Linked DNA regions of Oryzias latipes. The protein of the gene in region 2 purifies or fractionates together with the protein of the main gene of each other region. This does not show direct contact. Links are inferred from orthologs where the notes say so. Each region holds a gene or a part of one and is shown on either strand. Other genes may lie near its edges.

Evidence for each region. Proteins that work in one complex are often made in the same cells at the same time.
Region 1: the proteins of fbxw7 (region 2) and nap1l1 purify together in Homo sapiens (affinity purification with mass spectrometry, with the first as the bait; 3 studies listed by BioGRID). This does not show direct contact. The link is inferred for Oryzias latipes from reciprocal best matches to the Homo sapiens genes FBXW7 and NAP1L1.

What each region holds. Positions count from the first base shown.
Region 1 is NC_019881.2:10,005,890-10,010,253, forward strand, and holds the start of nap1l1 (nucleosome assembly protein 1-like 1), read right to left. Parts: upstream 2,948-4,364; 5' UTR 2,933-2,947; coding exon 2,794-2,932; intron 794-2,793; coding exon 755-793; intron 618-754; coding exon 489-617; intron 1-488. UniProt on the Homo sapiens protein: Histone chaperone that plays a role in the nuclear import of H2A-H2B and nucleosome assembly.
Region 2 is NC_019859.2:19,453,349-19,456,997, reverse strand, and holds part of fbxw7 (F-box/WD repeat-containing protein 7), read left to right. Parts: intron 1-114; 5' UTR 115-183; coding exon 184-363; intron 364-1,069; coding exon 1,070-1,603; intron 1,604-3,649. UniProt on the Homo sapiens protein: Substrate recognition component of a SCF (SKP1-CUL1-F-box protein) E3 ubiquitin-protein ligase complex which mediates the ubiquitination and subsequent proteasomal degradation of target proteins.

The sequences.
Region 1 (4,364 bases), on a different chromosome or scaffold from region 2:
GTGAACAGGCCTTTAAATGAAGCTCCTGCGCTTCCCTGAGAGCACAAACAGCAGAAGAGGACTCAATTATTCCATGAATCCTGCAGGAGAGCTGCAGAGGTTCTCCCTGATGTTTCTCCTCATTGTTGGTGTGGAAAAAGCTAGCAAGTGCGTTTGTCATGAATGCATGACCCGCTCATCATCATGAACAATAATGACAGATCAGTCCCAGACAAACAGAACCACTCTTGAGATTCCAGCTTTGAAAGACTCTGGATCTGCAGGTGTTCTGGATGTGGCAGAACAGCTGCATCTTTCCAGGATCCATAATAATCCGATTACAACCTTGTTCAGAATGTAATGCACAAGCTCTGGCTCTCTTTAAATAACAGACTAGAAATAACATCAAAGTGCACCTCAGTGAGTCCACATTCCTTCAAAATAAAAGACTCAAATCAGTTACCAGAAAGCCAGAGGTTTTGCTGGAGCAATTTGCTGGTCAATAGTACCTTTGCTGTTTTCATTTTCCCCGGTCTCCTCCTCTTCCACCTCCTCTACATCCTCCATGTCTGCCGGGTCCATCTCAGTCTGGTCTTTACTGCTTGGAGGTGGGGGGTGGGGGGGAGACAGAGTGTTATCTATTAGGAAGGTTCAACAGCTCTCTGTCCCGAGCAAACCATCATCTACACATTCCAACAAATCCTGCAGATGATCAACCAGAAGGTCCAGGTGGCTCCCCACTCCCCACAACATGATTTGTGTCAGATCTACTCACTTGTCAATGTCTGACATGTTTGGAGAGTCTCAAGTGATGCTGGGAGGAAGCACAGGAAGAGGTTAGAAACCTGACAGCAACAAGTCCAACTAGAACGCACAACAGCACAGGAGCAGTCAGCCGAAGTTAGATCAAACTTTTGTTATAACATTTGAAACTGAAAGAAAGAATTTAACCCTTAGTAGTCTGGGACATTGACGGTTTTTTCTACTTTACAATTTACTCTTAATTTATCTTTAAATCTAATCTAATACTTAAAATTATTTTCTTATTTACTGGAAAAGGTTTGAGATCAAACAGTTTTCATGTTTTCTAACAATAAAACATGCAGAGACAAATTAAAAATGTATAAATCCAAAAACCAAGCGAAGACAAGGTCATAACTATATGAAAGATATCTTGAGAATCAGAAAAAGCTCTACTGAACTAAATGTTCTTCCAAGGAGTCTCACAATTGTGCGTCATAACTCTTATGTTTGCTTAAACACAAAAATATAAAGCTAAAAAAAGTTTGAAACGTATACATTCAATTTTGAATTAAAACCATACCGATTGAATGTAAACAGGTGATGTGATTGGAAACTCCAGTAAATTCACAGAATACAAGTGGCCTAACGTTAAATCGAATCAATTTAACCAACCAGATCGATCTGTCTGAGGTTAAGTTGTTAATCAAGTTGACATACACCACAACAACAAAAATTTTCCATATGAAGTAAATCGATAATTATTTTTGGAAAATACAATTTGGATAGCGACATGGTGCGTTTATTTTAATAAAAGTGCATCACAGCGGACAACACATGTGATGCAACACTGATCAGTCCATCATTCCAGTTCAATGTATGGAAACACTTTGGGTGAGTGAATTGGATTGTTCAAACTGAACAAAAACCCTGAATCAGATTGTCAACTAGTTATGATATGCATCTGATAGGTAAAAGGAATCCAACCCCTCTATCCACATCTGATCCCAGGTGAGCTGCATTCAGCCTTATCCAGCTGCACAGGCGAGTTCAGAGTCAGATGACACTTGTGGGGTCTGATCCTCAGATGACTCCCTGGATTAAAAATCTAGCAATGTGGAGAGTAATTCTTTTACCATAATCCAAGAGTCAATAACCTGCAACTTCAAATTTAAAATCAACGATTTAAATTCAAATTGAAAATTAGAATAAAATGTAGAATGAGATGACAGTTAAACTGAGGATTAGCTTGAACGTGTTCTGCGCAGAACCGGTGGAGAAGTTTCCTCTGGTACAGACCACGTGTTGCCGAGGTCTGACAAAGGACAATTTTCTGAAACTGCGTTTTTAAAGGAGGCCAAACGAGCCGAACCGTTAGCCTAAATCAGAACCCACGAGCGGAACATTGACCAACCAGAGCGGCTCCTGTCCCCGCGTCCGGCCGGCTCGGCTAGCTCGTGCGCCGTTAGCTTGATGCGCACTCTTCGGGGAGCAGCGAGAAAAAAAATAAAAAGACCCGCTATGACGGACGGTTCCGGTACCACACAACATGGACCGCTTTCAGAAGCGTTCCCGACGCTCCGGATCCACGTCAACACGCGTGATAATCATGCTAAAAGCTGCGTTAGCGCACTTTATTCCACAAGTCACGGTTGTAAACAACTGTTCCCCACCCTGATACCATCCTCTGAAAATAAGGTCACTCACCCCCCCCCCCCTTAAAAGCAGTGAATATAACCAGACATGTGTGGGCAAATGTCGAAAAACGACCTGCTGCGCAGGGACCGACTAACGTTTGGACAGAAAAGTGCAACAAATCCTGGCGAGACGAACAGACGGCGCATATATATACACAGCACAGTTAGCAGTTATTTTTCAGTTATTTTTATCGCGTGTAACACATCATGGAGGGGCCAGGCAATGGCTGCTGGCGTCTGCCTAACTTAGCATTAGCAATGGCAAAGCAGTCTTCCGCCGACACTTTCACTCCCATCAAGTGACAGAGCACGAATTTAACTCCCTGGACGGCGACAGGCGCGCGAGGCGCCGGCACTTGAGCCCTGTCCGCCTTACCTTCGCTGTGTGGCCGGAGACAGGACTGTGGAAACAGCGCTGCGCAGTGAGGCGGACCCGTGAAGAAAGAGACTTCGCTCTGATGGCGGTAAAAGGGAGCGAGATCCCGCCGTCTGCGCTCATATACTTGCGACGTCATCACGCAACCCGGCAGTCGCCGGGGCAACGCGGCTCATGGGAGGGGCTGAAACTGGGGTGCGGGGGGGGGGGGGGGTATGTAAAGTATATCTTTATAAACAGTCCATCAAGGCAACAAGAATTCTAAGTAAAATCATTTGAGCTCTTCCTCAGATTTCTGCATACATGTTCTTATCTGTCTCTACGGAGCCCTGGTCGGGACATTAAAAAGATGCTTCCTCAAAATAATAATTTGAGGCCACAACTTAACAAATGAACCTTTTCTTGCCACAATTTAGTTTTTGCGCAAACAAAGTACCATTTTGTGACATAAAAGTTTTAGTAGGAATTAATTACATTAAATTACTAATTTGTGCACATGAAAGGCTTATTTGGACATATAAAATTCAAATTTTTCTACACAATATTGTCATTTGTGCTCACAAAATGCAAATGCATTGCTAATTTTTGGCCATGTAATACTAATTTGTGTGCTCCAAATACTAAATTGTTGCCACAAATATTTAACTTCAGGGAATAATTTATTTACTGTTTCATGTCATGTCCAAGGTTCTGCAGTCTTCCAATCATTGTATTAATTGTTTATTATTTATTATTTTTAGATTTTAAAATTCCTCACTATTTATTTGTAATGATCCCCCCCCCCATTCCTCCAGAGAGAGAGGGGGGGGGGGCAACATTCTTAGCATCTCCGCCATTTAAACACTCAGGACGAACAGAATCATCTTCACCCATCACAGCATGCGGCTTTGCGACAACATTAATTATTGTATTGTCTTTCCTTATTCTAATGCTGTGTCCCTTTTTTTTATTTGATGTCTTAACATTGTCAAATTTCATTTGGACAAAAAATTCAGAATAAAACTTAAATTGTTCAATTTTTTTGAGTCTTGTTTTGTTTATTTCTCTAACCCCACCAATTTCTACTTCTCCTTTAGTTTTAGACCAGACTGAAAAAGTTGCTGGTGTTTTGTAGTGCAGATAAATTAGACTGAATACAATTGTAAATCATTTTAAAGTAAAAAAAAAAATAAGACTTTCAATGGACAATTTATTTGTTGTAAGAAAAAATTCCAAATATAATCCTTAAAATGCTGCCAAACTTCTCTGCTAAAGCCAAACACTATGTTTAATATGTATATTTTATATACAGTTTTATTGATGGAATTTGGCGTTCTTCAGTTTGGAGATCGGACTGAACAATCCTGTGACTTTTGCAGACATCCAACTTGAAGATCAGTTACATATGCTGACTGCAGGAGCTTTGCAATTAGGAGCTTAATTGTCTGCACCTACAGGCTCAGAAACAAGAGCCAGGAGCTGATTGGCTGTGGCAGAGAAATTCTGAAAAGGTTTATTGGTTATGAGCCAGCTCAGCTAAACAGACAGTCGAACACAAATGTCCTTGCTTTTTGTGTTTGGTTTTAGTTTGG
Region 2 (3,649 bases):
AAATTATTCAAAAATGAGGGGTTAATGAAACGTCCTCCCCTCATCTAACTAAATAAATAAAGTAAGTAAAACCTTCAACATCTGTGTCTTTTTATTTTTTTTTTATCTTTGCAGAATGTCAAGACCTTCTCATCTTCAGACAGCCTAGCGAAGGTCCAGGAGGTAGCAAGCTGGCTTTTAGAAATGAACCAGGATCTGCTGTCGGGGGGCAGCAGCAGCAGGCGGAGTCGGGGGCCCGGGGGTCCAGCAGTGCGAGGTAACACCTCCTCTACGACCCGGGCACCCCAGCAGGCGGCAGAAGAAGCCGACGAGGATGAGCACATTAACCGGGTTGTCGAGGAGGATGAGCAGTTGCAACAGAGGGTGAGGCCAGCTCATGCTTAGGAAACATTTCCCTTTTATGTAGGGGGAAGATTATAAAAAATGTGTTGATACTTGAAAGATTTATAACTATTTTGATAATGGTGGATTAAGTTTTCCCTAACATGTTAAAAAAAAAAACGTAGGGATCCTTCTTTATGAATATGAACTCAAGGAAATGCATAACTCTTTAATTGTGTTTTCTTGGGTTGGCCTGTAAAGAAACATCTCTACACGAGAGGCCTAGACTGCAGTCAACTGTGTTTTTTTTATCTTATATTTCTCAGTTTAGTAAAATAAGTAATTAAATGAGTCGCTTTGATCTCACAGAATTCGATGGATGGCCTCACATCTAGCTCCAGAACAAAGTGATTTATATAAAGTCTTGGCAGAAGCCAGAAACGTTACCCACCCAACCTTAGGAGTTTGAGTAAACACAGCCCTTCACTGTCTTCTCAATGTGGGATCGTCTCTGCGTACAACTTTGTTCCAGAAGTGTTCTTGTTTTTTTTAGGTTCAAGTTTGCAACCTTTTTCTGTTTTGATTCACAAACTTCTTTAAAAGCAGTCTTATATTCCTTTGAACTTTAAAACTTAATTCTCTTTAGGTGGTACTCAAAATATCATCTTTAGCATTGTTTTAACATCCTATAGCCTTAGAATTGAAAGGCATTTCACATAAGCATCCGCTGTTCTTTTCCTTTTCAAAGCCCGAGGTGTCCCAGGTTGATGGTGAGAGGGAGCAGCTTTGGGAGCCCAGCGAATCAGGAGCCAGCAATGGCCCTCAGGGAAACGAGGAGGTGGAGGAAGATGAAGGAGCCCCGCCAAACGAAGTGAACGGAGACGAAAAAGGAGCCAGGTGGATGTGGGGGACCGAACACAGACAGGTGAGAGGGCAGCCACCCCTCGAAGAGGAGGAGGAAGAAGAGGAGAACAACAACAACAACAGCAGCAGCCACCAAGAGGAGGATGAAACTGAGGAGAGGACAGAGGGAGGGGATGAACAAGGAAGGGACGAGAGGGGAGAAGGAGAGGAGGAAGAGGAGGAGGATGAGGAGGAGATGGACCAAGACAGCGATGAGTTTGAACATTCAGCAGAAAGCGAAAGGGAGGAGGAAGAGGAGGAGGAGGGAGGTGAAGGGGAAGAAGAGTTGCATCCCCCCTCTTTCGCGAACAGGGTTTCTGCCCCCAACAATCAGGACTCTAGATGTAAACCCCAAAGCCCTTCCAACAAGAAGGACAAGGTAAGACATCAACAAATCCATTTGTTTCCTTTATATATGGTCTCTCTTTGTAGCTGAGAAGTGTGAACTTTGTTTGGGGAAAATCACCGTTTACAATTTGCACCAAAAGGTTTTAAAGTATTTTTGTTTGAACACATTTCCATTCACATTCATTCATAATAATAAAACATATATGTGAAACACTTAGATGGAATGACTGAAACTGAAATTCCCACTGTATACTAGATTTATAGGTGATTGGCTCCATCTTGTGGCATAAGCGATACTCCTCAACAGTTCCTACTAAGAGCGTCTATTTTACTTGAAAACTTATAACTAGGGATCATAATTACTTTACCCTACACCAGTGAGGAAATCCAAAGAAAGATACTTTCAGAGCCTTGTTACAATTGGAGTTTGTGGCTTTCAGTCTATCGTTCGATGAGTGGGCATATTCGAAGAATTACAAGTGTTGGTGATTCTCCTGCAAAATAAGCATAAAGCGACGATATTTACTGAATATAACTTAGCCTGGGGAGAAAATATCAAATATAGGTAAAGTTGTGCATTTTTCCAGTTCCAATAATAACAGTGAATTTTAAAGAAGCAGATTTGTTTTTATTCCCCTAAGATATCTGAGTCAAAGATCTTTTGAAAAGCAATGGTGGGATAATTTACATTCCTTAAATCTGTGGAATTAAGCTGATTTTAAGTTACAGTTTGTCTATTTATCTGAATAGACTTAAGTCTGAATAGACTACATTATTATTAATAGAAAGACCTGTTCTGAAAGGGATGTTTATTACACTGGCTCCTTACATGGCCTTTACAATGCTTTAATCCTTGGTTTCGAATGATATTTATGCCATTTAAAACTACTTATGCCAAAGCAGTCTGTCTATGTTGCTGTGAGTGTTTGTCACATTTCTGTGCCGTTTGTTTGCTTTGGCCCCTCTGTAGTCGTGTTTCAAGATGCAGGATTTGGCCACATAACACTTGGATGAAAGCAAGTACAAGCTTTTGGTTCTGGGAATTTTAGAAGATCCATCCCCCAGCCAACTTGACAAGCTTTACAAATATTCTCTAAAAATATTGTTATTGCAAAAAGGAACTCTGTGTCCTGTCACATGTTAATAATGTATAAAACCATCTATTTATCAGTGTTATTTTATTACAATTTGAAAAATCTTTCTAATCAATGTGTTTGAGTACAGATGTTCGATAACTTATGTTTTTAAGAGGTGTTTCAATGCTTTACTTGCAGTGTGGATGTTGCAGCCCCTTAAGCCCCACAAGGAGCCAATTGTCTGAAATCATTCACATTCCCCATCATGTTTGTTTCCGATTCATGTTTTTTTTTGTCCCTGAATCCTGACATATTTAAAGTCATTGCTTTCAATATTCTCTTGGTACGCTCACAAGAATTCAGATTTCATGTCTCATACATTTCAAGCCCAGCCACTGTAGAGGAGAAGTCAGGCCAACTTTTTAAAAATGCTTAAAAAACATATTTATCTTTATTCCAGATGTTGCATTTGCTTTTACCTTAATCAAGGAGCTGAATATCATTTTTGGGAAAGCAGGAACACACATATATGTATAAATAAATAAATAAATATATATACACATATACATGTATATATTTCTCTTATTGGGTGTTTGTATTCTATAGAACTGTCATTGTAATGTTATTCTAGACTGCAGTGTTTTTTAGGGATTACTCAATCTGAATCGATCCAAACTTAATACATCAGTAATCAATCCATAAAAGTAGAGATTGATCTTCTTTTGCCTTTCCTTTTCTGGTGACCGAACACGTAATAGCAGTAAAGCCAAAGTCTGCTAGCTTGATGCAACGTATAATGGAAGTTCCCTTCCCTTAGGACAGTTAACGCTCTGCCGACATAAATATACATTGCTGACTTAATGAACAACTTTATATACTCACAGGCATGAATATTCCAAACTCCTTTAAAGCAAAACTTTTTTAAAGGTAAATCTGTGGTGTAAAGCTCTCTTTTGTTTTCTTTGCTCAAATCTTTTGGAAGAAAGTGTAATGCTATAACG